5 linked regions of the Xenopus tropicalis genome follow. The protein of the gene in region 2 binds, or shares a complex with, the protein of the main gene of each other region. Links are inferred from orthologs where the notes say so. Each region holds a gene or a part of one and is shown on either strand. Other genes may lie near its edges.

Region 1 (6,094 bases), on a different chromosome or scaffold from region 2:
ACACCATTTTATTAAGGCATAGTCTACTCAGTGGACCAGAATAAAGACCACATTCCTAACTTTACATCTGTGCGGAGAAAGCTTCAGGCGGGGTTTTTCTTGAACAGTTACATGGTATATTATTTAAACCAGGGCAAGTTAATACTGAGTTTATTGCAAATACTACAGCTTTATTACATATATATTCAAGCAACTTATTAATAAGACAAGTACATATAAAAAGGTAAATTGGTTGTAAGACTATACAAGTTCTTAATACAACATCATGTTTAAGGATAGTTATCAGATTAGACAGTATGTTGGAAGGGTGTAGAGGGAGAAACTAAAATGAAGCAGTGCACTGGAAAACAAGGCAGCTTTTATGGGTGCATCAGCAGCTAACTGCAAGGCCACTGAATAGTTTCATAGATAAATGTCATCATGGCATCAGCATAAAATCACAGGACCTATTCACATTTACTGGATTTTCTAAAGACAGACAAAGTATTTAAGGCACTGAATACACCTTCAAGTCCATTTAGCAACAGGTAGCAAAAAGATGATCTGGACACCAGAGTAAGGAAAAACCATTCAGAAAATAACTCATTTGTTTTGAGCAACAGAATATCTATAGGTACAGATCATCTTGTATTTAAATATATGACAATGTACACCTTTATTCGATGAACCCATTAAATTAACTTACTGCTTATAATTAAAATATATTTACTATGATTTTTTATTGCCAGTGTTAAACAATACATATGTAGCAGGACCCACTTTTACTTTGCTTACTACCTCTCTCCCACCTGCCTCATAAATGTAAAGTAAACAGAGGCATGGTTTTATTACCCTCCAACTGTAATGTAGAGTGGAACTAAAATATTCACCTCTGTATATTAGACACAACCCTAAAATTTTGTGTTTATTATTGCTTTCCCCAAAGCATAAAGTTAATCTAAAAGTGTTCAACTTGCCCCACCTTGCCCCATACAGAAAGATCTACTGGTTTAAATCAGGATTGTCCAATCATTTAGCCCTAAGACCAAGGGCCAGATGCCCAGAGAACCTGCACAGGGTCACGCTGTAAAATGCATCCACAGCCTCATGCAGACATGGTTGAGTGGCATTTTAAGCCAAGCCTGATCAATAGTAGACCAAATAAAATGGTGATTTTATGGGCCCATTAACTGTCAATTTAAGTGATTAACGCACAATAAACAAGACTAACTTTGACAAAAAATAAAGCCAGTTTTCATAGCCTGAGGGGGCGTGGGGTACAAGAGGTCTGCAGTGCAGAGTCTTCTGTATGGTAGTTCCTCATATCCTGCACTTCATACAACATGTCAGCATCCTCCTCTCACCCCTACAACATCTTCAAGGGTCCAGCGCACACCAGCAGGCCCCCGACCCCTATGTATCCCCCTGCTGCAAACAAGCGAATGTTAAAGTTAAATGGGGGGGTTGGAGCTATTATATTAAATTATGCTTCATACTCTCACAATTTAATTGTTCCATTGCTTTTACAAATTTAGTGCCACATCTCTGCACTCTCTCCAACTTAACTTAGGTGAGGCCTTACTATGCACCTAGAAAAAGGCTAAATTATGTTTTCAGCCCTTGAGTTAATGCTAATTTCATGCAAGACTGAGTAGCCACTGAGTGACACTGCCTACAGTTACATAGTTTGTTATCCACAATCTCAATTAAGGACCTCCCAACCAGAGCCGGAACTAGGGGTACCCTTGCCTAGGGCGCAATGGTGGGGGGGTGCCAGGCAGGTACCTCTTCTGTCACCTACCACCGGTTCTGGACCCTTTCCCCCGACAGTGCAGCAGTCCCTGTAATCCCCCTGCCCCCCTGTGTGCACATGTGCCTGTGCGCACGGGGGTGGGGGGGGGTGTTGGCAGTGGGCGGGCCAAGCCGACCAGGTTGCCTAGGGCCCTGGCCTGCTTGGCCCGGCACTGCTCCCAACACACTACCATTTAGTGTATAACTCACATTAATTAATTCTGCATAACCTTGCATATATCAACAACGGACCCCATTTGCTGCCCAGTTTTCCAATTTAGCCAAATCACTCTGCAAAATGTATTTGGCAAGATCTATTGGTCATACAGGAAATCCATGCTGGCACAAAGTCATAGTATTGTGAATTACAATGTTTGACAGAATCTTATCCCTTATTACCCCATATCAGCAATTCATTAGCTTCTCTGCACCATGGCAGACTAAGTTTTTATACCAATACACTTATATGTGTATATTTTCCATTTCTAGGGATAGTATGCACTGTAAAGCTTTTTAAGAAGTGGCATTGTTCTTCTGCTGTCTGAGGAAAACAATTTTGTGCTACTGCAAGTGACAAAAATGATCATAATTATCTTTCTGCTGCAAAAACTTATTTTTTTTTTTTTACATTGGCTCTGTTTAATCAGTTAAAGGGCTCCATTACATTGTATGTTCATTAGAGGTAATACTTTCTCAATGTAAAGAGTTGCATTTCATGTACACAAAGGTCCAAACCTCCCCCTAATAAATAGTGACTGTCTGTGGCATCTTACAGCAGCCCCTCTGGAATTTGCCAGAATTCACAGTCTATACCTACAAGCATTTCTTAAACACCTGCAGTCCATTGATCATTTTTACATACATTTAGTTTATTATGGCTCTTACTTTTTCATTTGCTGTGCTATGTCACAGACAAAACATAGCAGAATAAGTTAGCTGATTATTAAACATCAAAACACTGTTGTGCGAGCTGTCATGAGTACTGAAGGAGTTCTTCCCAGTGGATTGGCTTGGAAAATACTTCCCTTTCTAACCAGAGCTCGTAGGTGTAATGAAAATCCCCCGGAAGCTCCAGCGTCTGCCCCACTACACTTAGTAGACAATTATCTACTGGAGCAAACTCCCAGCTTGGGTTCTTTTCATATCTCCGACTGTTGAATCTCTCAATGTTTCCACGCAAGGTGCATTCCTCAGCCTGAAAGTCCCATGGCCTGGCATCAATGTCTAATAAAATAATATACAATAAAGACATAATTTTTTTGGAGGCGAATATAAAAAGGTTTAATTAAACCACTGATATATGCAAAGCAAATTATTAAATAATGGGAATAATGTAATAATAGGTTAAGTTTTTGCTACTGGTCTAATTACATCACAGCAGGTAGCATTTACTGGTGCTGGTCAAATATCATATCACAGATATTTTTGATATGTGTAATATTGACTGTCATTAATCCTGCCTCCCATGCAAAGAAAGATACATACCATTGCCATAAGCCCAATCATCATTCATTCTGTGACGCACCAACTGGTAAATGGCAGACATTGTCTTCATGTTACTCTTCCTCCACTGTCTTCCCAAGTACTTGGTCTGTAGCTTTAGCAGTTTCAGTACATAGAGCTGCAGAATTGCCTGCTTGACCTTCAGTGCACGCTTTAAAATGGGAGCAGATTTGAATACCACCAGCATCTAAAGAACCAGCAGAGTTAAGGGCCACATTTTACTTAACCAAGGTACAAACAGGTTAACATACAAACTGAAGGGTAATGACACAATAATTTTACAAAAATCAAGATGCAAATTTAGCTTAGATTTTCTTAATGTGTATACAAAAGTTTAGCAAGGACTAAATAATACTCAGGACTGCTAAAGTCAATTCAGGCAGTAGGAATGTACTGGGCTTCATACAGAGATGTATTATGAGCTAAGTATATTGGGCAATATGAGACCCGAAGTTCTCATAATATATCAGACCACATAAAAGTGGTCATTAACCATGCCTAGGTGCAAAAGTTTTGCCTTTTAGGGTCCATGAATGGAGCCCTTGCACATTTTTTGTTACAGAGGTGAGATGTGTAGAGTCTATTTCACTGGGACATGCCAACATGTTAGCCCCCCCCCCCTGTGAAATAGGTCGGCCAGCTTTTCCTTGGGCATAGAAAGGTCTTTATACAGGTATGGGATCTTTTATCCGGAAATCCATTATCCAGAAAGTTCTGAACTATGGGAAAGCCATCTCCCATAGACTCCATTATAAGCAAATAATTCTAATTTTCGAAAATTATGGGCTTTTTCTCTGTAGTACTAAAACAGTACCTGGTACTTGATCCCAACTAAGATATAATTAATCCTTATTGGAGGCAAAGCAGTCCTATTGGGTTTATTTAATGTTTAAATGATTTTTCAGTAGATTTAAGGTATGGATATCCAAATTATGCAAAGATCCCTTATCCGGATGACCCAAGGTCCTGAGCTTTCTGGGTAACAGGTTCCATACCTTTACCAATAACACAAGTGACTTAAAATACAGATTACATTATATACAAAAAACATAAATGTATTTTCCATGACAAGTCTTTTAAAGGACACATATGGACTAACCCTAAAGTGAAGCTACATGGCAGGCATAGGATCTTTTCTGCAATCCAACTGCTGCAGAAAAAAACAGTTGGTGTACAAAACATTCCAGTAATAAACCATCTTCATTACTTCCAACAATGTCCCCTATAAATTCCTTTTAGCCATGCAGACAAAACTTTTTTTGTGAGAATTTTTGAGTTTCCCTTTGGAATTGTATAGCTCCCTTCTTCACACTAGTAGAGATAATGGACAGCAGACCATACAAGATTATACAAAAGAGAACTATATACTGCTTTCTCAAGCATAAATTAAAGAAAACATTTCCTTTACATCTTCACATACTGTATCTTTCTAATCCTACACTTCACAAGACAAGCATCATACAAACGAATGGATATAGACAAGAACAACACCATAAACAATCTTTGGAAATACAAGACTGTAAAATGACCGTGCATTTATATAATAAAATCCACTCACATGCAAACATAGATATCAAAGAAATTACTCTGTTTAAATGGACAACTGTAATACCACAATTCACTTTAACAGAGATCCTAAAACTTCACACACATTTCAAAATTACTTAGTAGATTTAAAAAAATGGGCCTACAGCTGCTCCATAATTCATACCTAACCCTTGAAAAACACACTAAGATGGTAAATCTCTCTCCTAAGACAGATGTCTCCGTTGCCAAACTACCAAGGCAAACCTCTTAAATAGTTTTTGGCTCTGCCCTAAAATCTAATATTTTTGGCTGGACACGACCTCCTATTGGAGACAGATGGCTGGGAAACCTCTTCACTTGAACAAAGACTGCACTTTATTCGCCGTTTAATAACCTACACTATATCTTTCACATGTACTGCTTGGAAACCATTACTAATAAGGAACAACACATTAAAAAGTTCTTCTCTGCTTGGTCCATAAACATAATTATTTTGCCACAGACACTTAGATATATAACAATTCATACTTTTCAAAATACAGCATGGTATGATGTGGAAACTTTAAAGGGCAACACACTTTTCCTGGAAACTAGTCCAGACAGGAGTCCCCACAGGAATCACTGCATTAAAGGAACAGTAAAACAAAATTTTCACTTTAAAGATATCAGTTCTAAATACTTTTATTAAGCTATGTAACATTAAAATTATGCAATAATAGTGGTTTTGTAATAAATTACATTGCCATTGACTTACTGGGCCAAGCTCAAAAGGCGATATGGCGATGGGTAGACTTCCGGTTTAATCCAGAAGGTTTAATCCAGAAGTTGATTTAGTGCCTTCTTCGAGTCTTTTTTAAAGTGATTTATGGGCTACTAGTGATCTGGCACAGAGAGGGAAAGGAGAGGGATAGGAGACGGACCTTTTCTCCTCTTTCCCTGCATCTGCACATCTGTTACAAGGAGCACTGCACGGAGAAAGGGAGGGGGGTGGAGGGGGAGCAGAACGGAAGCAGGCTATAAGACTTAGGAGAGTTGTGCTGCCTGAGCTCAGTAAGTCTTTGGTAAAGTAATTTTTTTTAAAAAAACCATATATACTATTTCAATCTTTCTATTAGAGATTTTCTAATAAAAGTATTTAAAAAGGATATATGGAATGTAAAATTTTGTGTTACATTTTCTTTAACAGGCTAATGGCATCTTACTCATAGCAAATCAATTTTATCCTGTAAGGCCAATAGGATTGGCTTGGAAAGGACCTCTTACGTTGTTATATTATGTTAAACCTTCTTTACTT
Region 2 (6,094 bases):
TATGTTTACTGGCAGCATGATACATTCCCACTGGATTACTAAGTACAAATATACCTTGCATAGTAGAAAGACTTACAAATATATACAAGTAGTATTTGTAGTAGTTGGCACCTGCCAACTCTGCACTTTTATAGCAGCTACAAAGATAGGGACACTTGACAGTAATGCAGGGAGGGCGGGGTTTGTTCTTCTTTTCCATAAAATATTATACAAAAAACACAAAAAAAAAACTGAAAATAATGTAAAGAATCCATCAACTACTTTAAATGTTAATTGAATTACCTTGGTTTTCATTGAATGTGCTTAATGCAGGAGAGACTTCAGCAGCATTCCAGATTCGTATTGTTCCATCTGCAGAGGCTGACAATAAACGTTGATGTACTGCACTATAAACTAATCCCCAAATAGAATCAGAGTGGCCCTCGTATGCTCCTCTCAGAACAGTAGGGTCTGTTTTTAAGGGGAAAAAAAAAAAAAGCAAACATTCATACATTCAACAGCATTATTCTAGACACAGGGACTTTAAAATTGTCTCTCTCTCAAAACTTGCTTTGCCTTAAAGGGGACCTGTCACCCTAAGAAATAACTCCAAATTATTTAGCAAAATAAACTTTACTTACACTATATAAATAATACAAATCTTGTTTCCTTCAGTCTTGGAATTACTCAATCAAAGCAAGCAGGCAGGCACCATTTTGTGGACACTGTTATGAAGACAAGCTTTGTATCATGCCAAAATCTTGTTTATGTGCCAGAATGGGGGACCAGATGCCTATGCCCATGCACTGGCTACACAATTAGATGATGAGGAGGGAGGGGAAAAGTGAGATGTGCACTGCCCGCCTCTATGCCTAAGGCATAGAGGCGGGGCAAGCAATGTATGATTGACAGCTGGGATTTTTAATTGCCTTTATAATGGGTTTTGATGTGTTAATATAAACATGAATTTGGGTTTCATGTTTAATTTTAAAAGGACTTTTATTATACAGCTTTTTATGTCTGGGTGACAGGTCCACTTTAAGATTCTGAATGCCATAATGAACTTGCTCAGCATCACACAAAGTCGCTTCCCTTAAAAGATAATGCTAGTACGGTACCTCAAAATAATTAATTTGGTTTTACTCCTCAACCATTGTCCATTAGCTCATTTGTAAATACCATGGAATAATCGTACACTGACTTATTAAAGCAGCACACTAAACAATTTCTAATACACATTAAACAATATCCAATATTTCAGTTGGATATGGTTATTTATTAACACTTTACAATCTGTGCACTTCTTTAATTTGCAACATTGTTTCAAAAGTCGGAACTGAAAGGCATAAACAAATCCTGAGAAACCAATGGGGTTTGGGAGTGGAAAAGGCAATATACTGGTCGTTATAGCAAAGGCTGTGTTTACTTCTCCTTTAATAGCCAATGCACTGTGTTGTGATCTCATCAGCACTGAGAAGAACAAGGGGCATATGTGCTTTTTAAGTTTGTTTTTACCCATTAAACAGAAAATTTGATTTTAAAAATTGTGAAAAAGTGCATGAATATGATGAGTTTTGATGTCCCTCTGCTGCAAACTGCTAAGTTTGTAACATACCATAAGAATCATATGGATCCACGTTGGAGTTAGGAGTATTCCAGCTCTGGATAACACCATCTGTTCCTCCACTGTAACACTGCTCCCCATTACTGCTCATTACTACACAAAGTACTGGGCCCCTGGAAAGGATAGGATGCTTATTTGAGTAATTAATTAAAAACACGAAAAAACAAAATTCAACGTTGAGTAGAAGATAAAAATAACCTATCAGCAATTACTTCTGACAATTGAAAATATTGCTTGCAAGGTGATACTTAGGCGCAGTCAAATAACACTAGTTCTAATCCAGTACAATGTCTAGCCATTCTAGATATTTTACTGCCTTACCTTAAAGAGCACCTATTGAGGATATCAATATTGAATATTAATGACTCTGCCATCCTTAAAGTTAATTTGAAGGTTAAAACCCTTTTAATGAGAGAGTCTCCCTACTAGCTCATTATGCATGTGGCATCAACTCATCAATGGCACGGGCACAAGCACATTAAATTGGCGCAGTGTACTGATCACACGTCTGCCACAAGCGAGAGATACTAAACACTGATATATGATTTAATAAGTCAAATCAAACTTGAATTAATCTTAGAACATGTTCAATTTGAAGGCAGTCATGTGCATAAATTATGGACCTTTGTTACACTGCGGTTCAAGCGGATAAATACAACAGGCACCAGTTTACCATGTTAGGAAATACCTTAATATAAAAGGGACTAAAAAAACATATATTTCAAATATAGTCTCTTCTTTGAAAAGTCATTGGTGTATGATGCATTTAATTTAATCAATGCCTAAATATTTTACTGCACAGCTATTAAAAATTTCTCTTAATCTTTAACTTTACCCATTACCACAAATATAAACGGTGATCTAAATAGAAACATTAGCAAAAAAGAAAACCTTGTTTCTTACCTGTGCGCCCTGAATGTGTAAATTGGTTCTATATCAAGGGATGTACTCCTAAAAGAGAAAAAGTGTAATTTATATATGTAACTGACTTGTCTATTTTATAGTTTTTTTGCAAAAATTATTTGAGTGTAATAAATGGCCATAAACTGGTCAACCCTCCACAGTATCTGACCAATCAGCCCTTGTGCAAAAAGGCTGGATACTATATGGACTGGTCATAAACATGGACAACCACATTCCATCTTTCCATTTATTTGGGCTAACAGCCCAAACTGCATGAAGTGAAGAGGAGCTACAACCAACAAGGTGCAATGGAAGAAAGAAATTGTCAGTACTGCCTAGGACACACTATGGTAATAAAAATCAAAAACAGTGCATAGTTTAAGCACAAACATACTTTTTTGCTGGAGCAGTCTTTTGGAGATTCCACATTTTTAAAGTGTGGTCTTCTGATGCTGTAATAAGCACTGGCTCTGAAGGGTGGAAGGCGAGGCCACGTATGCCATCAAAGTGACTTCTCAATGTGAATTTAGGGTTCCATGTTTTCCTTAACGCATCCTTATTGTTGGCAATCTTGAGAGAGAAAAGACAACTCACACATCTTTATAGTTTTATGTAAAAAGGAATTATATACAAATAACTTTAACAATGCTACATAACCAAATAATACACCTACCTCCTAAAGGTAAAACCAACCATACGGCAATATTTTGAATCACAGCCTAAAATATAGTGATCATAAAATCCATTTCCTATAATAACTTTCTAACAACTACTTCCACTGTTTTTTGCAAGTGTAGTTCACCTTAAAGTTAACTTTAAATACATTATTAATAGTCCTATTCTTAGAATCCTTTTACGTGGACTGTTTGCCTTCTCTTCTGCTTTTTTCCAGCCTGCATTTTAAAATGCTATCTAGGTGTCTGGGGTCTTTGGCGTAACTACAGCAGCAAAGGGCTGCTTTTTTATTTAATTGCTTATCATTATATTGATAACCTCTGCTGCATCTTTCAGTCCGTTACAAAAATCTCTGGTTGCTGGCATAAATTAGACCGTAGCAGCCTGATAGCTTTTGAAATTTCATTTTGTAGAGCTAAAAAAACCTAAATAAAAAAATGATCTCATAATATCTCATATCACTGACTACATCATACTCAAAGTTAATTTAAAGGTGAACTAGCCCTTTACATTGTACAACACACAGCTCCTCTATGACAGCTTTCAAGAGAAAAACACAGAAAGGAAAAAGAGACATCAGTATATCTAGTAGTGGCAATTATAAGTCAACTGGACTTGCTCAGTAATCTTGACACTGTGTGACAGCTTATTTGAGAGGCTTCTTTAGTTTAACTGAACTGATCGATCAAAAACCATCATAGGTACATAAAATGTAATAATTAAGTGTTCAGCTATAAAAAGACATAATGCAATCTATTCTTAGCTTTCTAAACAACATAAATAACAATGAAAAGCAAATATCAGTTTATGTAAAAATTATTTGATAATTCTTCCCTCTGAAGGAGAACTTACATCATATGTCAAAGAATCTGCTTCATTGGCAACTGTAAGTCCAGCCAACTCTCCAAGTCCAAGCTCATTTTCTAAAGCTTCATCTGCTCCCATGATAAAAGATTTTCCAGATGAGGGTGGAAAAGTTAATGCTTCCACTGAAAAAAAGACAACACACGCTTGTTACTTTTAAAAGAATGTGATCTTTTATGTGGAAACGCAATATCCAGAAAGTGTCAAGTAAAGCAAATAATTTAAAATGATCAATTTCCCAATTTTACAATGGTAACTAAGCTGCATAAAACCATATTGGGGAGAAAAATGTCCTCAGAACTTGACTTCACTAGACATCTACCCTTCATCTGTGGCGCACTCTGAAACTTTTTTACCTTGGTCCTGACTTCTGTAAAAGGCCTCAATAGTGGTCCATGGCTCCAATAGTGAACAATTTCCACTTAAAAGGGGCACATGACAGGGATGCCCCCTGTCCCCAATGCTCTTTGCCCTAGCTATGAAGCCATTTGCACAAGCAATTAGACAACACCCCAATTTCACGTGCAAGAGAACATATACAATTATGCACAGACAATACTTTAGTATATTTGGGTGATCAAGGACTTTCCCTGGTAAGTCTCCTAGGCCTAAGCACCACATTTGCTCAAATTAAGGGTGCTGTTACAAGTGCTGCTAAATAAGTAAGTTATTCTACCTGTGGATCCAACCTTCCCCAATAGTCAATCAATTTACCTATTTGGGGGTAGTGATCAAACTACCTATTTCTGGATACTATAACGTAAACATACTTCTGCTAAAAGATTTCATAACTAACAAAAGCAAAACTTGGAAATCTTTCTTAATAGGCCCAATGGGTAGAATACAACTTAAAAAGGTGATACTCCTTCCCTAACTAACTTATGGTCTCTGGCAAGCCCCTTGCCCAATTAGTCTTTAGTGTATCTTTGTCACATTATTTACACAGCTGATTTGGGGAGGCTCCCGCCCTTGTCAACTAAATACCTTGACTAAGTGTTGCTTTCCCCAATATCTTTTTGTACTACACTGAGGCTCAATTAAGCCACTTGGCAGCTTAGGTGGAAAACGCAAATCATCAGTCAGTTTACCAACGTCATAGCACATTGCTGGGCTCTACCTGTACCAATCATGTTGTGATTTTTGTGCAACAAGTTTGCCAAAAAAACAGTCCAACTAATGCTGTTTACTAATATACTTCCTTAGACCCCTTTCTGGAAAAATGTCTGCTTTCCTAATATTGCTAAGCTGGGAAAAAACCTTATGTTGGAAGGGTGTGGTATTCTCACCATAGGAGATGCTTGGCAAAGGTGAACAATGGCTTCTTTTGATAGACTTAAGCAACAGTTTCCATTACCTGCACATTAATGGATGAAATACTCTCAAATTAAGAGATACCTAATGGTGCAAAATAATAAAAACACTATTCAGCTCAGAAAGTCACAATAGTGGTGCATAACAGGAAACCACTTTTATTACACTTAAAGGAGAAGGAAAGGCTATTAAAGAGTTATTTTCAACCTGTAGGCATACCTTTAGTTCTCTCAACAGTGCCCTTGTGTCTCCCCATATTTCTCCCATTCAGATGATCAGAAGCCTCATAGGAAAAAAAAACCACTGAGCTCTGTAAAGAAAGTTCCCATAATGCCATGCTCCTGCACCAAGACCGGTGTACATGCGCAGTTTGTAAGATTATGAGTCAGCTTTCTGCTGATTGGCTCAGATCACACATTCCTAAGGGGGAGGGAGTTCTTAGCATTCTTGAGGGAGGGGGCAGCAGGAGAAGGGAGAGAGCTGCGCAGACTCTGGCACAGGAAAACAAAGACAATAAATCCTGTTTCTTTTTACAGAGAAGTCAGTGCAGCGTTTCTGTGAGTGCTTATGGCTGTAGTTACATATACCTTTCTGATTAAGGTTACTTAGTATTTAACTTTCCTTCTCCTTTAAATACCGGATTTGTGCTTTTTTCCCCCCCAAATTATACATATGACCCTGTTTAGATATATAGGTGAATGAGCAGATCTACCAGGTGAGGGCAGCTATAAAGAGAAG
Region 3 (6,718 bases), about 63 Mb from region 2:
CTTATCTACTAGTTATCTGCTATGTAACCTGTGCCTTTTCTCATTTTTTCCAGCTTGAATGGCTGCCCCCATGGCTACACAGCAGCTTATTTATATAGTAGCTTTTCTGTAGCAAAAACACCAGTTTTTAGCAGAGCAACAGCACATAATATTTTAATTACTTTAAATGCTTTAATTTTTTTATGTTACTGTTCCTTTAAGCTCAGGTTAGAGGCTGCCGTAAATAAGCAGAAAAGGAAGTTTAAAAGCTGATGCTAAAGGGCTGCTCAAAGGCCAGCTACTTAGAGAGATTGCTGGGTGACTGTGGCAACACAATTTTTACATATCTATATGCACTTCTATAAGAAAGCTGGAAAACAAAAAAAAAAAGTGTATATACCACATATCCCAAAAAATGTGTGTAGATTTTTTTTTCCCCAATTATGGTAACTCAAAAGCATAGACAGAGAAACAAATAAAGTTCAGATGGTACAAAGCCCATTATTTTTTCCAAGTGACTGCAAAGGGTCAACAAACAGCAGAATTCTGTTGATAACCAGACCATTAAAAAAAAATGCATGCATGGTACTGTATGAACTAGAGTCTCAGCTGGAGGGGAGCTAATTTCTGCTACACTGTTTCAATAATCACACCCAGCAGTAAAGGTGGCCATACACGAGGCGATTTCGCTCGTTGTGCGATGAACGATTATATCGACAAACGATCGTATGGCGATCGAGTTCCCATACGATATGCCATCCACGGGCAACGATAATTCGGGAAAGATTTCGTCGCATCATTATCGTAAAATACGTACGATCGTACATCTACGTACGATTGAATGTCGTTGACTTCCGCTGCTGGCAATCGTGACATGCGCAGAGAGCAATCGTTGAAAGACAAATGTCTGACACTCACACCAACTGGCAGATTTTATCGTTAAACGACCAAAATTTTTAAACCTGGCCGATCGATTTTGGGGACGATAATGTCGGCTCGTTTAGTGGGCCGACGATCGTTCGTACACCACCAACTATACGATAACTTAACGATAGCATCGGATTGTTCGGGAATCGGTCGTTTGTAAGTAAAAAATCGGTCCGTGTATGGCCACCTTAAGAGTGGAGAATCATTTAAGTCTTTGCAATTAAAGGTATATTGTATAGAATGTTAGGTCTTTTGTTGCAAACCCAAAAGCAAACTTTTTTTTTTTTTTAAGCCCTTTAACTACTTTTGAGTAATTGTCAGTTAATGTAATCAGCTTATTGCCTTTGTCACCATGACAAACCAGAGCAGTAAAAAAAGTGAGTAGGATTAACACCACCCTTGGATAACTGGATTACAGATTCCACAATTTACTTTAGAAAAATAAAACCATACCCTCTTGTAAATGCATCTTTCCTATTTGTTAAACATTATGCAGAATCTGTATTGCTCATTGACTAAAGGGGGTGGGGGAGGAGGGAAGAAAAACGTAAGGAAAAGGTGATAACCTTAATGATTAACAGAGATTTACACCCTTTCCAGACACTTAAAGCCTACATGAAGAAAAGTATAACTTTAGTCAGATGTCATAAAAACCCAAAGTTACACATTTAACCATTGCAAAGTTTCAGAGTGAGTTTTCAGCCAGTATAAAGCCACTTAAAATGATTACCTGAATGCTGGATTGCTGCCATAGCCCTAGAGAAAATTTCAAAAACCTGGATAGGCAAAGTTATCAGTGCCTATTTTCAAGAAACAAAGTTATGGTTCAGTCCCAGGTGTAGTACTACAAGTAAGACATATCTGGTATAATCAATGCATAACATCACCTATACACTGAAAGTACTTCACTAAAGGCTCCAATGAGAACAATGTCACAGACTGGATCATCACCAGATTTTAATGTGTGAGCTATACATACAAGTCTTTTGGTCTTTCAGCCAGTAATTCTATTTGTAGCTGGACTGGTATATAACTGGGCTGACCACTTTCTCAAACAACTTCTAGGTCTATGAACAACCAGCAACAATTTGCTGCTGCATTCATAGCATCCTGGTTTAGCTGTGGTATGGGATCATTTCTAGTGGATGATGCTTATAACAGATCTCTGCATTATGAAAGAACATTTAATTCTAATCAACTTTCCAGTATCCATCAATTAAAAACAAAATCAATGAATTTAAATGTAAATCTACTTCTATTCCCTATCTTCACTACTAGATCTGACTCCTTAAAGACGAAGCAGAAGCTACCTTATTAACAGACCTGTGAAAGAGAATGTAAGATCCTGGTGGGAACTGCTGGAGCCTTGGCTAGAAAAGTGCTGGCTCCTGCAACACTATAAAAAAAAGAGGCCTACCAGAGAACCAGGAAAAACCATAGTGGGCCCCAGTCCACATGGGTCCCTGCATCCCAAACTCCCCTGACTCAAACCAGCAGCTGCAATTCAACCAGGTCTAAGTTTAGAGAGGCTGGGTAATGGTCGAGGAGACTGTGAGGGTGGTTGGTGTTCCCAGTGGGCCCGGGTATCCTGTCCAACACTGGCAGAAAAGAACAAAACATACTACTTTCAAATGCAAGTAAAATTAAATGCTGAAAACTGTTACTATATATTGCAAAGTTTCTCAAAAAATACATGTTATTTCCTTATTAAAATAAAATTTATGTAGAGTTTGGTGAAGTTTCTCTTTAAAATATGTAAATGTAATCACTATTGAAAGCAGTCCTTAAGCATGTACCACTAAAACATTTTTGTAATCGTCTGTACTTCTACAGCCAAGACTCCTTTTCCCACAATGACTTGCATGTTTTGCAGCAAGTAAAGAAGAAAAAAGAAAAAGTCTGCAGGGCATTGTGGGAAATGTATTGACCCTTGGCATGGAGGGAAGTACTTTACTGCAACAATGTTACAAGTATTGTAGTCAGGACCAACAATGTATAGTATTTTTAATGGTAACTGCAATTACAAATAACTTTAAAGGCCAAGGAAAGGTAAAGTTAGCAGGCTGCACTGTACCAGGCCAGCAATGATACTGGGGTGATCCAGTACTTAAGCAACATTGGCCAAGTTGGACCCAGAAGCTCCAGGATGATGGCAGCCGAAATAAAGTCATTGTCTGGGGTTATGAGGGGCTGCTCTGCATAACTAATATTTAGTAACATTTTCACTTTCCTGGTCCTTTCAAATCAGCAATTAGTGTATATTGGAAACTTGCACAGACTGGACTTGGCTTTCATTATGCAGAATTCTATATTTAGGTTTACTTCTCCTTAACTCATACCACTCACTGTTAAGTGAACATTTAGTCAGTCAGTCATACCTTCAACTTATAATACCATAAATGTTAATATCAGCACCTTTGGAATCAGCAGTTTTCTTCGCCTTAATGAAGTCGCAATCTGCTAATGAATTTGACTTTATGGCCCCCAGTAAATAGCTCGTTTCCTGGTACGGTCTCTTGCCCATAATTGTAATCATTTATAGTTATATAAATAATGAATGAATGCGTGTTATTTTGCTCTGCCAACCCCCGAGCCCGAGTCTGGCCCTAACACACAAAGTTTCTCTCTATATATAGATACTTAATAATGCCTTGGAGCAAGTTTCAGTTCTATATTATGGGTTTATGAGAGCAAGCCGGGCTCTAATGTAGCCACGGAGGAACAGACTCCTCCTAGCTCTGAAGTTTGTGCGGTGATAAATAGTAGCCTTTGGCCTGACAGAGCGGCTCTTCCTTCCTCTCACTGACACCCCAGGCCCAGCTGGGATTAGCATTACTCAGCACAAGGAAGCTCCACAAACCCGGCAACTCTCACTTCAAACTGCATCGGACCAGCCGTGACACCAGAACCAGAAACCGGAGCAATACCTGTATATCCGGAGAACAGGCGAAGCTTCACCAGGCCCAGTGTCCACAACACCCCAGAACCTTATACCCAGGCACCGGAAGTTCGCTCTGAGAAGTGTCCGCCGTCCTGAAGAAGAAACAAGGCGTTGCCCGGAATCAGTCCAAAGAGTTTACCTTTCAGGAGGCCGACCTAAACATGTGCCGAGAACATAGGGAAACGTAGTTCTTTTCAATGATCGGCGTACAACAAGACAATCACAGGTGAACTACATCTCCCGAAATTCCGTTCGAGGTAAAGGCTTGTCATAACAAAACATGCCCACTTGTCAGATAGTACGCAAGGTGGGCGGCCTGCTCCGACCAATAAGCGCTGTGAAAGTGGGCATGTGCCGTTTTGATTGGCTAGTTAGTCGTGATGTAAGACTTACCAGGGAAGCTTGTGGTGCAGCTGAAAAATCTTGGGCTGCACTCAGCTGGAGGAGGCGGTGGTGTGGGAGCAGCTACAGAGGTGAGCGGAGAGTATCGCTTTAACCGCGCTGTGTATCCATGCTGTCATGCCCAGCTGCCATGCGTCTCCCAGGTCCTGGCATGCTCTACCCAAGTCTCTCTAATTGTAATGTGCAAATGGGGCTTTTCGCTCCGTTGTATTGTGACAGCTTGTAACATAGCAGGAGATGAGACGCAGGCTGGGGTGTGCTTGTGAGTGCCGTTATATTACAGAATGGGATTTCGGTGAATCATTAGCGCATTTGCACAGGTGCAGTGGTACCACACAGTCCCTCCTGGCATGGATGTGCTTCATTCTGTATGTTATAGGGATATATAGTTATATCCACTTATAGGGAGTCATTAGCCAGAAACACAGTTTTGGTAAAGTCCAAGTCAGTAATTGATGCTTTTGTGCTGCCCAGCCCCACTGTTTGAAGAGGGCACAATGGTTTGCACCTCATGACACAATAAAGGGTTATTTTTTCTTTTTAATGTCGTTCTGCATGGAATTAGTATATGTTGGCAAATGAAGTTGTATGTGCCTAGAGTGGTTATTCGTTATAGAGCATGCCTTTGGTATGCTGCCTTGTATTATTGTGTACAGTGCCCACTTGGGAGGATGAGTATTATGTGCTCACACCTTCCACACTGTGTATTTATTGTAATTTAAATATATTTAAGTTTCATAAGCTTTTAACAAGTTCCTCCACACACAAACTGGTTATTGTATAATAAAAGAATGTCATTCTAAGCAACTTTCACCATTCGGTAATTAAAAATCTCAGTGGCTGGTTTAAGGCAGGGGTGTAACTAGAGGGGAGAAGACCTTAGGAACGTGGTGGGGCCGCAGATAGAGTTTTATGCTATGCTATGCAATAGAAATGTATTTCTGTATATAGTGTGATTTCCCTCATTCACCTTATTTTCAATGTAATTGTTTACATAAAGCTTTCTATCTTTTATTTTTTACTGTTTCTCTACAATTTAGATTTTAAAGGGATACGGTCATGATTTTTATGGTGTACTTTTTATTTCTAAATTACACTGTTTATATAGCAAATAAGAATAATTTACACTACCATTTAAAATTTTTATTCTTAACCAACAATTTTTTTTTTTTTTTAGCTGTAATATTGGTGTTTAGGCGCTATCTCAGTGCATTGTGCCTGAGTCTGAGCTTTCAGAAAGAGGCAGCTCTACACATTAGAACTGCTTTCAGGTAACCTATTGTTTCTACTACTCCAATGTAACTAGAAAGAATCACAAACCGGACTTGGATTTCTTAAGGTGGCCATACACTCTAAAGCTGGCCATACACGTGGCGATCTGACGATGTTTCGTGCGACCATCGGTCGCACAAAACATCGTCAGATCCGCCACACACCATTCAGGGCTGAATCGGCAGGTAAGGAGGTAGAAACAATAGGATTTCTACCTCCTTCTGCCGATTCAGCACTGAAAGGAGATTTTGGTCAGGCGCCTTCTATGGCGCCTGATCAAAATTTTCAAACTATTCCGATCAGCGAGTCGGCCGATATCAGCAGCTTCCTGCGATATCGGTCGACTCGCCGACATACCATACACGCACCGAATATCGTACGAAACGAGGTTTCGTACGATATTATCGGTGCGTGTATGGCCACCTTAAGATCCGCTTTCTTGGCGAGGGCGCCAAGCGAGCAGATCTTCTCCTGATAGCCACACCTACGGGTCGGCGATATCGGGCTAATTCGGACATTTGTCTCTGGGACCAAACGATTGAATTAGAAAGACGGGTATAGATGTCCCTCATTTGGGGACCGGATCAACAAGCTGATGCTGTCCCCGATCTGACTAAATTTCAAACCTGCCCGACTGAGATCAGGCCAATTTCAGGCCAGATGTCGGTCGGGCAGGCCCGTCGTTAGTGCCCATACATGGGCCGATAAACTACAATCAGCCCATATATGGCCACCTTTACTATTGAGTGCTATTTCGATATCTTGAGCTTGATAGTTACCATAGAACATATTTGAAGATAATTTTAAAGAGGCTTGATATGCTCTTCTCTTTATACTTTGCCATATTAAGCCTCATTAATACATATGCATTTAGACCCTGGCAGCCACCCGGGCAATTTTATTTTTTCTTAATACCCACATTCCAATCAATAAGAAGTAGTTTTGGGCACTTTCTCACTGTCTAAAATACACTGGTTAATATTTTAATGCCTTTATTTGGCTATAATGTTTAAAAAATCCCAATAAAAATGATTGAAACTAAAATACACTGGTTAACAACTTTTCCAGTGTGCCATCAGCCTTAAAGAAAAAGTAAAGGGCCCCTGCACAGCATCCTGTCTCAACCACAGAAACCACTGTAACTGAAACAGCCCTGAATTCTAAAGGCAGACCTGCAGAGTGGGGCTGATGGGTGGC
Region 4 (6,632 bases), on a different chromosome or scaffold from region 2:
CATGATCAGAAGCCAAACAGGAAGAAAAAACGCTAAGCTGTGTAAAGAAAGTTCCCATAATGCCTCACTCCTGCACAGACACCCAGACCAAGTGAACATGCTCAGTTAGATAGACTATGGGGCAGATTTATCAAAACACGAGCTCAAATCCCGAATGGGAAAAATTCAGATTGGAAATGAAAATTTCTGAAGATCACAAATATCATGAAAATGCTTACGAAAAAATCGTATTAGCCAAGATAATATCGTATTGGCGATCCGAAAGTCACAAAATTTTTGTACTGAACGATTGTAAACAGTGGCAAAACTGATCCAATTTTTTTCCACGAAAAATACGATAAAGTCGCGCAAGCACCGAAAAAGTTGCGGAAAATACAAATGGCCTGATCGAAAAAACGCTCGGCGCGTTCGTAAATAAGTAAATGTGCCCCTATGAGTCAGCTTCCTGCTAATTGGCTCAGATCCACATTCCTAAAGGGGGGGGGGGAGTAAGTTCTTGAGGGAGGGGGAAGCAGGATAGAGGAGAGAGCAGAGAACTGCATGTCTCTGGCACATGAATTACAGACACAAGAAATCTTTCTCCTTTAAGTACAAGGTTCTGTTTTATTATTACAGAGAAAAAGGAAATCATTTTAGAAAATTAAAATTATTTGCTTATAATGGAGTCTATGGGAGATGGCCTTTCCGTAATTTGGAACTTTCTGGATAACGGGTATCTGGATAAGTGATCCCAATACCTGTACTTATCTGGGCCATGCTGGTGTGGGACAACAAACACGTAATGACTGAATCAGGTATATGATTGTATGAATGAGTGACTCTCTTAATGACAAGAATACATGCAGCATGCACAATTGAAAGTTCCCTATGACATAACTGGTGACTTGTAATTACTGTGTAAGACATAGGCTAAAAAGGCTCTTCAATTCTTTCATGTTATTTAATAAAAAAAGTGGTACTGAGAAAATACATTCATATACCAGCTGATAAAAGTTTACACAATGGTAGCAGTTTGTTTGTTTGTGAAGAATGCATCAGCCAAAAGCAAGCAGCATTGCAGTTATATTTGTACTAATTTTTGCATATTGTGAGAGAACCAACTATGCACACTTATGTTGGAAAGTAGGAAAGTAAAAGGATGGTAAAAAAAATTATAAGTTGAGTAATATTTTTATTGTACTTAGTGTAGATGACCAAGATGAAGCCCTACAATTTACCTGAAAGTTCTGCTGCCCACTTGTCAGAATCAGCATATATAAACTCTAGGTCCGGAGACTCCGAATAGCCCTAAAATGAACAGAAGTGCCATAAAAAAATAAACAAAAAAAGAAACCCAGTGCAACAATTTTAAATTTATTTTATCATTCAAGTTGGCAACAAACAGCTAAAACACTTTATGGCATATTTATGTTTTCTGTCTGCACACATAAAAATAATTACAAAAGGCATGTAAATAGTATCACCAACAAATGGTCATCTTTGATGTATACTGTAGAACAATAAATCATCAACATGAAGACTGCGGTCTTGGAAATATGATAGTTCACAGGAGAGACTGGGAGATGGACCAGTCAAATTGTTCTATCATTATCAGATTGTTAGATTATACCCAAACAGTCAAACTAACAACAATTTTCAGACCTTCCCTTTAAATCAAATAACTAATATCTGTGGTAAGAGGATGTCTTATCTGATCATTCTTTGGACACAAAAGCCCAGAAAGTCATAAAAAAAAACCTTTTATCCAAAAACATTGGAAGGCTAACGGCTCTGGCACACGGGGAGATTAGTCACCCGCGACAAATCTCCCTGTTCGCGGGCGACTAATCTCCCAGAAATGCCATCCCACCGGCAAAAATGTAAAAAAAATGTGAGTTTCCTCTCAAGGCAACTTCCGCGATTTCAGTGAAAGCGCGCCGCCGCTTATGCCATCCCACCGGCGATTTACATTTTCAGGGAGATTTGTTGCGGGCGACTAATCTCCCCGTGTGCCAGAGCCCTAAGGGTGAAGACACACAAGGCGATTAGTCGGCATAAGTCTTTAAAAAGTCGCTGCGATTTCTCTACGCAGCGAAAACCTGTGTGCTATTAGTCGCAGCAACATATACAGGATCCTTTGAAGGGAAAGTCGCTGCGACCATTCGCCCTAATGGCACATGGAATGTTTTTTTTCCCCATTGCTGTAGATACACCAGCAGAGAAAAGCTGATCTGCTGCCTTCTGCCCCCTCTGTGTGCACTTCTAGGCAAGGGATATACCTGTTCACTCACAGAGAGCAAATACAAATACCTATTATTGCATTTCCACGCTGAATTATGTGTGGACAGCTTTCAATGCACTTGCAACTAGTCACAGAATATGACTGCACTCTTGGAAAGAAAAAAAAAATTATAACTTCGAAAGATATCAATTCTTTCTCATAAGACTGATGCAAACAAAACCATATTTCTTAGTAGTCTGGGAGATTTAAATGTAATCAGTTTTGAGACCTAACTTTATTCATAGATGTTCAGACACTGTACGTGTTACACCTTTTTTCCTCAAAGGCTAATTTGCTTAGGTAATATTTTCAGTAGCTCTTTTACTTAACAGGGAAAACAATGAAACTGAAAGTGATTTCATTTTGCAACCTGGTTCTTTAGAGTAACCGTGGAATAGGGTCACATTATAGCATAACACATTACGAGAGCAATTGTAAACCCCAGGTGATGAAGCAGTAAACACAGACCAATAAAAAAAAAAAAATCTCACTAGTAAAAGCAAGGCCATGCTAGGAGATCTTTTGCTCATTGAAATATTTTCATGAGTACCCAGGGCCCTCTACCCTCAGACTAACTTTCAGGCATTTTCTGTGAAACCATGTGACAGAGTGGTACATTTTTATACTATTTTCTTAAGTCTGAATCATGTTTACAGCCCAAAGAATTCTCTCCTCAGTTACTTTTACAATATGCACAGCTGCTCCCAAATACCATTTGTTTGTTCCACCCTGAGAAAGGTGCAAGTGGTGAAATCTTAGCTTTGCATTAAATTCAACTTTTTGAATAATACATGGGCATGATATTTCCAGGAACACTTTAGGGCTCATTTACGTCCACGAGTGCAATAGTGGTCCCCAGTTTCCCCCCAACCAGCTGCACCTAGCACCACTTTTATGTTCTCCTTCCTACCTTCCGTTCCAAATTGAGAGCTGCTGCACCAGGGGAAGCCTGGAGCTGCCACACACTTGCTGCACCTAAAGAATCAGGTACAGACCAAACAGTAGAACTGACGCCAGCTGGATTTTGGCGCAATTGCATCCAATTTTGGGTACACAGTTGCAAATCAGATACAACTGCAATAGACAGAGCAATTGTGCCAGGCGTATCACTCCACTGAGAACCACAATGACTCAAATTCTGGGGGAAAAAGCAACATTTTTTCAAAAACCTGCAGCAATTACGCTCAAAACTGCACTTTTCTCACTACATTTGCAGAGGTACATGTGCCTTTCTGTCACAGCATCTTCCTGCAGAACAGGAATATAATGTGTGATTCTAAATGAAATGCTCAACTTTCAGGATGACGGAGATTTAATTAAATATTTTTGATAACTATAGGTTATATTAACATGACAGCAACCACGAAGAACTATAATATATATTTTTGGTGAACAGTAAAACTAAGACAAGTCAGCAGTTTAGAATAGTTCGCAAAACTGATGTGAGATTCCTTTTGGAATGGGCTTTTTAATCAGGTAAGAACTGTCTTGTCTTCCTGTCACAGGTTCCCCAGACATACCCCGGTCACTAAGTAAGCATAAAAGCTGGCACACAGTTACATTACAAGGGTAATTCGAGGATAACTGAGTACTAATCAAACACAAATGTTAATGCAATATAGTTATACATAACAACCACTTTTACTCATACCTCTGAATCCTTGCGCTGTGTACGGTTGTACTCTCGTCCCTTGCCCGGTTGGGGGCTGCCAATTACCGCACCACCGATTCCTGTTCTCATTTTGTTGTTGACAATCAGAGAACCGGAAGCCTCCATCTTTCTCAGGCGACGCCCACGTGACGTGACACCGCCGTCTCAGTAGAACATTTGCGGTGGAACGCAAAGCCCAAGGCGTGTCTGTTTCTGCTTTCCAAACATCGCGATAGTATGAAGAGTCTCGCCCTTTCTTTGACAAACTGGGCGGCTTATAGAGACTGATGTATCGGCACCAGTGTGATAATCAGTGTTTTGTATATTCCTGTCTACATAACATGTATTTTATTGCTGAGACCTGCATTTATCTATATATCTAACCATGTATTCTCTGCAGTTACAGCGATGTTTGAAAGCCGGCTACCCTTAAAGGAAACGTTAACTCTAAATACATTCATGTAAAATTGGGCTTCTTGCCACTTTTATTAGGTATTCATAGATTTTAAGCTGGTAAACGTTTTTACACAGCTAATGCGTCTAAATTGAAATAATAGCACCATCTGCTGGTCAGTTCTATCAACCAAACTACAGTCAGAAAATTTCAGTAGAAGAAACTCTTGTAACGTTGTCAGAGTGCTTATACAATTGAGCAAAAGGAAGTGTCCAGATCTAGGGTATGAGCGCTGCAAATTGTGCACCTGATGTTTCTAAAAAGTAAAATTGTAAAATGAGGCAACACACATTAGCTATCCATAGATAAGTGAAATGCACAATTTACATTTTTAAGTTATCTAAATGGCCCCTGATAATGGGCAATCATTATTGGAGTACACGTACATCAGCAGTCAGGTGTCCTGAGATGAAAAGGCATGATTCCAGGTTCTTAAAAGGGATGGGGCTTGTGGATGAGTGGGCAAGGTTTTGTTGGAGTTTTGTCTTAAATTAAGCTTAGAGACAGGTTAGAACACACTGTATAGGAGGGGCAATTTTTGTTTCGTTGAGGCCCTATTTTACTTGAGACAGGGCTTACCATTCAGGGGGCCTAGGTGTCCATCAGACTATTAATTGGGACCCCCTGGTGAAGGTGGAGATCCCTGCTAATTTAGTAGGATGGGGCCATAGAACATACACCCTAGTTTGTAATTACAGTGATGAGAAAAAGTATTTGCTGCTCCATTGTTTTACCTGGTACTGCATATTTGCAAAGCGAGTTGTTTCCGAGTTTAAATGTAATATTACACAAGGGAAACTGAGCAAACACAAAGAACAGATTATATATATATATATATATATATATACACACTTAGGGCCGCTTGAGAAATCATGAAGCCCCCCACAACAAAATTTTCTGGGCCCCCCTCTTCTCATGTGCCCGCCCCCAGTGACCCCTCCCATCAGTACAAAGGACACACATACATTGTTAGCATTGCTGGCCAGGGCCCCCTAAAACATTGATTTACAAGTACATTAGAGGGGATTATAGGCAGATGGGGGATGTTCTTTTTTCCCATAAAAACAATCAATGCACCAGAGGTCACCCCTTTAGATTAGAGATTATTTATAGTTTATGTATGTGAGTGTATAGATTGGTAGGTGTGGGTTAGGTGTGCTGGGTTTACTTGGATGGGTTGAACTTGATGGACACTGGTCTTTTTTCAACCCTATGTAACTATTGATAGCCAGGGACCCCCTAAAACATTGGTAGCCAGGGCCCCCCTAAAACATTTGTGGCCAGGGCCCCCCTAAAACATTTGTGGCCAGGGCAGGGACCCCCTAAAACATTGTTAGTCAGCCCAGTGCCCACTAAGCGTAAAATTTTACTTTTCGGCCACCAAGGAAGATGCTATGTCTGGGGCAAAACCAACATCCCCACATCACCCCAAGAACACCATCGCCACTGTGAAACATGGTGGTGGCAGCATCATGCTGTGGGGATGTTTTCCAGCAGCAGGGACTGGGAAACTGGTCCAAATTGAGGGAAAGATGGATGGTGCTAAATACAGGGACATTCTGGAGCAAAACCTGTGTCAGTCTGCCTGTGATTTGAGACTGGGTTACAGTGGTTTAAGGGGAAACATTTAAATGTGTTGGAGACTTATCCAAAGTGTCTTGCAGCTGTAATTGCAGCAAAAGGTGGCTCTACAAAGTATTGACTTTAGTGGGGGGGGGGGGGGGGGTGACTGAAGTTTTCTGTTATTTTGTCCTATTTATTGTTTCCTTCACAATAAAATAAAGTTGTAGGCATGTTCTGTAAATGAAATGGTGCAAACTGTAAATACAAGGGTGTTATAATATATACAAAGCAAAATGGGCATAGCAATCCTACACACTATACTGAGGGCTTTACTATAAATAATGAGTGTGATAAGCTTTCATTCTCCTTTAAGGAAAACTATACCCCAGAATGAATACTTAACCAAAAGATAGTTTATATTATGTTAAGTGGCCTATAAAAGAATCTTGTCAAACTGAATATATATATCAGTAAATATTGCCCTTTTACATCTTTTCCCTTGAGCCACCATTTAGTGATGGGCTGTGCGCTCCCTCAGAGATCACTTGACCAGAAATAATGCAGCTCTAACTGTAACAGGAAGTAGTGTGGAAGTAAAAGACAGAACTCTTTCCATTAATTGGCTGATGAGGCCTAGCATGTATGTGTGCACTCTGAATCCTATTATCCCAGGAGATGGCCCTTAAAGAGTAAGTTCACCTTTT
Region 5 (6,094 bases), on a different chromosome or scaffold from region 2:
GTATCTTACTCTCCAAGATTTATCTTCAGCTGCCTGGCGCAGTGTGGGCATAACCAGTGGTTCCAGCTCTTCTTGGGGTAGAAGCTGAGCAATGTTTACACAAGCCTCGACTGCCAACAAGCGCACTGAATCCTGGGAAAAGCCAGAATTACAAACAACAAAAAAAATCAGAAACAAGCATAAACAACGGTTTAAATATCGGAGTATAGTAGTACAGTATTGGTACTAAGTTAGAAAGTGTGTGTATGAAAGTATAATTTAAATTTGTAAGTAATTTGTATCATAAACTATGATTGAACATTTATAGTGACACCTTGTGGCAAAATAGGGTATCAACTTCTGGACTGAAAAGCACTTACAGTTCAATAATTCATTAACGATACCATTTGGTTCCAATTTACCATTATTAGGGGAAAGCACTTAAGTATGTAATATATGTGAAGTTTCACAGAAAGGGTCCCAGAAACTTTGGGCACAGATGCTGTACAATAGTACATAAATTACAATTTTCACACGAGGGTGCTAATCCATAATATTTTATAGACAGATATAGACATACATGCAGACACACATTTATTTAAATATATATTTCCATGGCTACAATCAATCAGTTAATAGATTAAAATAACCTTACAAAAGTAATGTACAGTATATGTAAACGATCACAAATAAATAAAATAAATAAATAATGCTTCTGCCCGTGTCTAAAGTTGCAAACTGTTTTCAGTCTTTAGATATTTTGAAGTCGATTGTTAGAACCTCACCTGCAATAAAAGCTTTCAGTTTGCTTAATGGCGGCATGTATATTATATATATATATATACACACATATACATGTTCTAATTCAGGACATTCTCGTAGAATATATGTGGCAAGACCTGCAATCAGTTTACCTGCTCATCAGATGCTAGGTTGGAAAACATGGGAATTATTTCACTCTTCACATTTTCCAACTCCAAAACTTTAGCAAACTCCCCCAACTTGGAAGCAGCGGCTCTTCTCACCATGGGAGTATCGTCTGAGCACAAGTTTCGGAAGTGCCTATAGAGAAAAAGAATGTGCGCATTTTTTATATAATGAAAATGTGCTGTTTTATTGCAACGTTTAATAAAACTGTTTTCATTAAAAGGACTGAAGAGATTATAGTAGGTAAAGATTATAGTACTCGCATTATTCCCCCTAATTTTGTTAGCAATAATGAATAATATATTTGTCAGCTTTCACTAAAATATTGGTCATTGCAGAGTAGTATTGCTCTGGCATTGTAAAGGGTTAACACTGGAAACATTTGGTATTAGGTCTGCAAAGAGTCCCTTTAGACACTTTCACAGGAGGGCTATGCAAACATGATATTCATATCTGAATTTGGAGACAATTCGGAGTGACACCATTTGGGCAAAGAAGTTGAGCCAGTCACTTCTTTTGAACTGTGGATCAAAGGAAGGAGCTGTGAACCTAGGGCTGCAGGGGGGAGCATTTATGGAAAAAGACAAGGATCCATTTCACCTCATATATAGGGTTCACCTCCTCATAAATCATATATATTGGTTGTGTGGCGGTCACACAATTCCTAATGATACCAAACAGGGACAGCTTATTCCCACCATTTAGGAGGGATTACCACCTCATGTTTGGTATCATCCTTATCACCCACATATGGGTCACTGCATACCCCTATTTTCACTATAATATTGGGTACTGGCACTGTACTAATATTATATTACAGAAAATGGGCCTAAAACCAACAACCACAGGGGGTCATTAATGATTTGGTCCCACCTCATACATAAGGTAATGAGGGTGAAAGGAGAATGTCCCAGCAGGCCATAAAAAGGGGTATAACCCTTTGGCTGCTGGAGTACTCAGTAGTAGAACCTCACCCTCACTACAATGAGAAAGAATGTGCGATACATTTGTGTATGGGTAAATATTACCCATTGTAGAGAGCAGGGAGATATATAGTATAATAGTTATAATCGTCTTTAGTCATGTGTTTAGTAATGTTATGCATTATAATAATACATGTATAGGACACTGCTTATTGGATAACTGTATGATATTTAAGTAAGGCCACAATCTGGTGGTACTCACTGTCTAAGTTCGGCCTTTACAGTGCTGGAGACACGTGGATAGCAAACGCTGAAGAGGCCACAGGCAGATGTGCGGGAGGTGAACCAGTCTCCACTAGCCAGGCGCTTTACCAGTGGCACAAAGTGAGCTTCAAGGTCAGAAGGTGAATGCTCGTGAGAAATGGCACGGAGGGATTCAACGGCTTTGTCTCTTACTACGGTCTCCTCGACTGTTGCCAGGCTCTCCAATGGCGGCTTTTCAAGGCAAAATGAGAGATGGTTAGAAAATGATAGATAACTCAGTAGATAAATCCAGCGCTATTCCTGTTCACCAATTTTTTAATCAAATGTTTAAAGGGTCAGTACCTTTGCAAAACCTTTTTAAAGTTAAAAAACAAATAGTTTTTTTGTTCCAACCATCTAAATCAGGTCCCCAACCATCTAAATCAGTGGTTCCCAGGCTGGACCCCAAGGGGGAGGGAAATAGTCTCCATACTAATTAACGTGAGATTTGCCCATTTGCTCACCTAAATACAGCGAAAAGACCAGCCTGAAGGTATATTAGAGTAAAAACAGTAAAACATATTTCCTTATTCTTAAAAGAGAAGAAAAGGTAAATACTCAGTAAGCTTTATCAGTAAGGACTATGTAAATACAGCCATAAGCACTCACAGAAACACTGCACTGAGTCCTCTATCAAAAGAAACACAGGATTTCTGGTCTCTTTTTTTTGGTAAAAATGATGTTCCACTGTCTGACTTCCTCTCTCAGAAACAGCCTTAATTAAGGTGACCAGAGTTCTCTCCTGCTCCCCCTCCCACCAGAATGATAAGAACTCCCTCAGGAATGTGTGATCTCAGCTATAACAGCTAGACTGCAGGCAGGAAGCTACTTAAAAGGGCAGCTGCTATCTTAAGCAAATGGAGAAAGTGTCTAAAGCTGTTTACTCAAGTATGGTAACGGTTTCTACAGAATAAATATAGCGCTCTAGGTGGCACTAATGTGGCAAATCTATTGGCAGTAAAATGCCAAAATTACTTTCCTTCTCCTTTAAAGCTTTAGCTGAATGGTTGATATGCCTATAGTTTCCTATATTTATAATCTTGTTATGTGTGTAGGTAGCCCCTCAGTTTAGACAGCCAACAACTTGGCTTGCTAAGATTTTTAAAACGTAAACACTCGGACAGAAAATGGTCAAAAAATAAATAAAAAGCAAGTTGCCCCTATTTTCAATTACTGGAGTAAATATATTTTATACTTTTTGAAAACATTATTATGAACACAAACAGCCACTTTAAACAGAATTATAATATTCTAATTATATAATTACTGGGGAAGAGTCTATTTGTATTGGAGTCTAATAAATACTCACCAGCAAGCAGTGTACAAATTCTGGTCCCCCCACCAGTGAAGTAAAGGTCCCCAGCTGCTCAGCCAAAGCAAGAAGAACTTCATCTTCATCATATATGGTGTCTAAAAAAAAATGGAAGGTCAATCATGAGGATTAAAGGAGACATATACCAACACTTCTGAGCATTTTTGCCGTTATTTTCTTTTTTTTTTTTTGTTTTCATTATATTAGTACAGGTATGGGATCCTTTATACGGAAACCCGCTATCCAGAAAGTTACGAATTACAGAAAGGCTGTCTCCCATAGACTCCATTATAACCAAATAATTCTACTTTTTCAAAATGGTTTCCCTTTTCTCTGTAATAATAAAACATTACCTGTACTTGATCCCAACAAAGATATAATTACCCCTTATTGGGGCAGAACAGCCCTATTGGGTTTATTTCATGGTTAAATGATTCCCTTTTCTCTGTAATAATAAAACAGTACCTGTACTTGATCCCAACAAAGATATAATTACCCCTTATTGGGGCAGAACAGCCCTATTGGGTTTATTTCATGGTTAAATGATTCCCTTTTCTCTGTAATAATAAAACAGTACCTGTACTTGATCCCAACTAAGATATAATTACCCCTTATTGGGGCAGAACAGCCCTATTGGGTTTATTTAATGGTTAAATGATTCCCTTTTCTCTGTAATAATAAAACAGTACCTGTACTTGATCCCAACTAAGATATAATTACCCCTTATTGGGGGCAGAACAGTCCTATTGGGTTTATTTAATGGTTAAATTATTCCCTTTTCTCTGTAATAATAAAACAGTACCTGTACTTGATCCCAACTAAGATATAATTACCCCTTATTGGGGGCAGAACAGTCCTATTGGGTTTATTTAATGGTTAAATTATTCCCTTTTCTCTGTAATAATAAAACAGCACCTGTACTTGATCCCAATAAGATATAATTAATCCTTATTGGAGGCAAAAACAATCTTATTGGGTTTATTCAATACTGCAATGATTTTTAGCAGACTAGGAGACTTTAGGAGATCCAAACTACGGAAAGATCCTTTATTCGGAAAGCCCCAGGTCCCCAGCATTCTGGATAACAGGTCCCATACCTGCAATTGTGCACTGCTAATATAATGCATGTGTAAGAGAAGCGCTCTTGCTGTTCTGTCTGGTTGCTGCCCAGCAAAAACTGAATTTAGCAATACAGGAAGTATTCCTTATTTCATACCACAGCTTTTCTTTTAACTTTGTGAAACAGGTTTCTCTATTCAGTCCAGCAAATCCTCAGCGTATGACTTACCGGTTAGGAATGGAAGAAGCTCGCTGCGTGTTCTCTCTACCCCCAGGGCCAAAGCAATAGTTGAGAGCTTTTTAATGCTGTTAAGACGAAGCTGGAAAAGCAAAATAGAATTTAAGTTAGCATGCAAGATTTCAAAATGGCGCTTGATATTTTCTATGTATCAGTAATAAAAAGCATCATTGTAACCACAACAATCTCTATTATTAGCATATTAAAGAGGAACTAAAACTTATTTAAACTTTATTCTCCCCCCGGTGATTCAGCCTTTCCTCTTCTTTAAGGAAAGTTATGTAATGCAAACCATTAACCATTTAAACCCATCAAGTGAAATTTACCATTCCACACTGTACATCTACAGAACACCATCATTATCATCTATAATTAGCAATATGAGGTAGGGCGGTGAGAAGCCTCAGGTTTAGCTTGGTGAGAATCAACAGCAACAGATGCTTTGCTTCCTCTTCAATATTTTGATTAATTAGGACAAGAACAGAAATGTTTTTGGGATGCAGAGGCATTTAATTACCATTGGTGTAAAGGTACAGTTTATTGCACAATACACAAGCACCAATGAATAAGCTACAAACTACTGACCAATCAAAACAGGGAATGTCACAGCCATAAAACTGTAAAGGGCAAACTAGGGCTGTGATACGCTCTCTCTGGAACCATCTCCATGGCAACAGATGCTCTGCCAACTTTGCCTACTTGGTCCCAAACAAGCAGTTTTACAAAATACACGCACAGAGAGCGGCTTTAAACATATTTGGGAAGTATTTGTAATGCATAGTTCCTTAAATGGTTAATGCGGCACAAAATGATAGACAAAGTGCAAGTGCTGCTGCTGTTAAGTTTATCTTGTGTTTATTTAATGTGTGGGCACGCGTGCATTTTAAATAAATATTGTATAGAAGTTATAGCACCGGGATTTGGCGTTTGCGCCTCCCCACAGATACTTTTGTAGTTGCACAGGCAAATGGAACCTAGCAACAGCATGGGAGGGGGGGATTGCTCAGTACGTCACTATCTTCCACCCACATTCATTCATTCAACGAAAGAGGAAATACAGCAGCTGGCAAGTTATTTATAATCTGATGGAGGCTTCTGATTGGGTGTTAAAGGGATACTGTCATGATTTTTATTTCTAAATGACACTGTTACATAGCAAATAATTGCCATTTAACATTTTATTCTTGAACCAATAAATGTATTTGTAGCTGTAATATTGGTGTGTAGGCGCCGTCTCAGTGCCTTGTGCCTGAGTCTGAGCTTTCAGCCAGCGCTACACATTAGAACTGCTTTCAGCTAACCTATTGTTTCTCCTACTCCCATGTAACTGGAGGAGTCCCAAGCCGGACTTGG

The links.
Region 1: strn (region 2) and strip2 share a complex: the UniProt entries of both Homo sapiens proteins name them as parts of the core of STRIPAK complex. The link is inferred for Xenopus tropicalis from reciprocal best matches to the Homo sapiens genes STRN and STRIP2.
Region 3: strn (region 2) and pdcd10 share a complex: the UniProt entries of both Homo sapiens proteins name them as parts of the core of STRIPAK complex. The link is inferred for Xenopus tropicalis from reciprocal best matches to the Homo sapiens genes STRN and PDCD10.
Region 4: strn (region 2) and strip1 share a complex: the UniProt entries of both Homo sapiens proteins name them as parts of the core of STRIPAK complex. The link is inferred for Xenopus tropicalis from reciprocal best matches to the Homo sapiens genes STRN and STRIP1.
Region 5: strn (region 2) and ppp2r1a share a complex: the UniProt entries of both Homo sapiens proteins name them as parts of the core of STRIPAK complex. The link is inferred for Xenopus tropicalis from reciprocal best matches to the Homo sapiens genes STRN and PPP2R1A.

The regions. Positions count from the first base shown.
Region 1 is NC_030679.2:87,143,233-87,149,326, forward strand, and holds the end of strip2 (striatin-interacting protein 2), read right to left. Parts: intron 3,461-6,094; coding exon 3,256-3,460; intron 2,995-3,255; coding exon 2,744-2,994; 3' UTR 134-2,743; downstream 1-133. UniProt on the Homo sapiens protein: Plays a role in the regulation of cell morphology and cytoskeletal organization. Required in the control of cell shape. Calmodulin-binding scaffolding protein which is the center of the striatin-interacting phosphatase and kinase (STRIPAK) complexes.
Region 2 is NC_030681.2:50,048,181-50,054,274, reverse strand, and holds part of strn (striatin), read right to left. Parts: intron 4,171-6,094; coding exon 4,034-4,170; intron 3,077-4,033; coding exon 2,901-3,076; intron 2,555-2,900; coding exon 2,507-2,554; intron 1,717-2,506; coding exon 1,595-1,716; intron 451-1,594; coding exon 283-450; intron 1-282. UniProt on the Homo sapiens protein: Calmodulin-binding scaffolding protein which is the center of the striatin-interacting phosphatase and kinase (STRIPAK) complexes.
Region 3 is NC_030681.2:112,893,735-112,900,452, reverse strand, and holds the start of pdcd10 (programmed cell death protein 10), read right to left. Parts: upstream 3,929-6,718; 5' UTR 3,834-3,928; intron 2,481-3,833; exon of another isoform or gene 2,324-2,480; intron 1-2,323. UniProt on the Homo sapiens protein: Promotes cell proliferation. Modulates apoptotic pathways. Increases mitogen-activated protein kinase activity and STK26 activity. Important for cell migration, and for normal structure and assembly of the Golgi complex.
Region 4 is NC_030678.2:72,083,671-72,090,302, reverse strand, and holds the start of strip1 (striatin-interacting protein 1), read right to left. Parts: upstream 4,045-6,632; 5' UTR 4,038-4,044; coding exon 3,912-4,037; intron 1,288-3,911; coding exon 1,218-1,287; intron 1-1,217. UniProt on the Homo sapiens protein: Plays a role in the regulation of cell morphology and cytoskeletal organization. Required in the cortical actin filament dynamics and cell shape. Part of the striatin-interacting phosphatase and kinase (STRIPAK) complexes.
Region 5 is NC_030683.2:120,830,360-120,836,453, forward strand, and holds part of ppp2r1a (serine/threonine-protein phosphatase 2A 65 kDa regulatory subunit A alpha isoform), read right to left. Parts: intron 4,824-6,094; coding exon 4,733-4,823; intron 3,543-4,732; coding exon 3,442-3,542; intron 2,325-3,441; coding exon 2,092-2,324; intron 1,042-2,091; coding exon 894-1,041; intron 133-893; coding exon 1-132. UniProt on the Homo sapiens protein: The PR65 subunit of protein phosphatase 2A serves as a scaffolding molecule to coordinate the assembly of the catalytic subunit and a variable regulatory B subunit.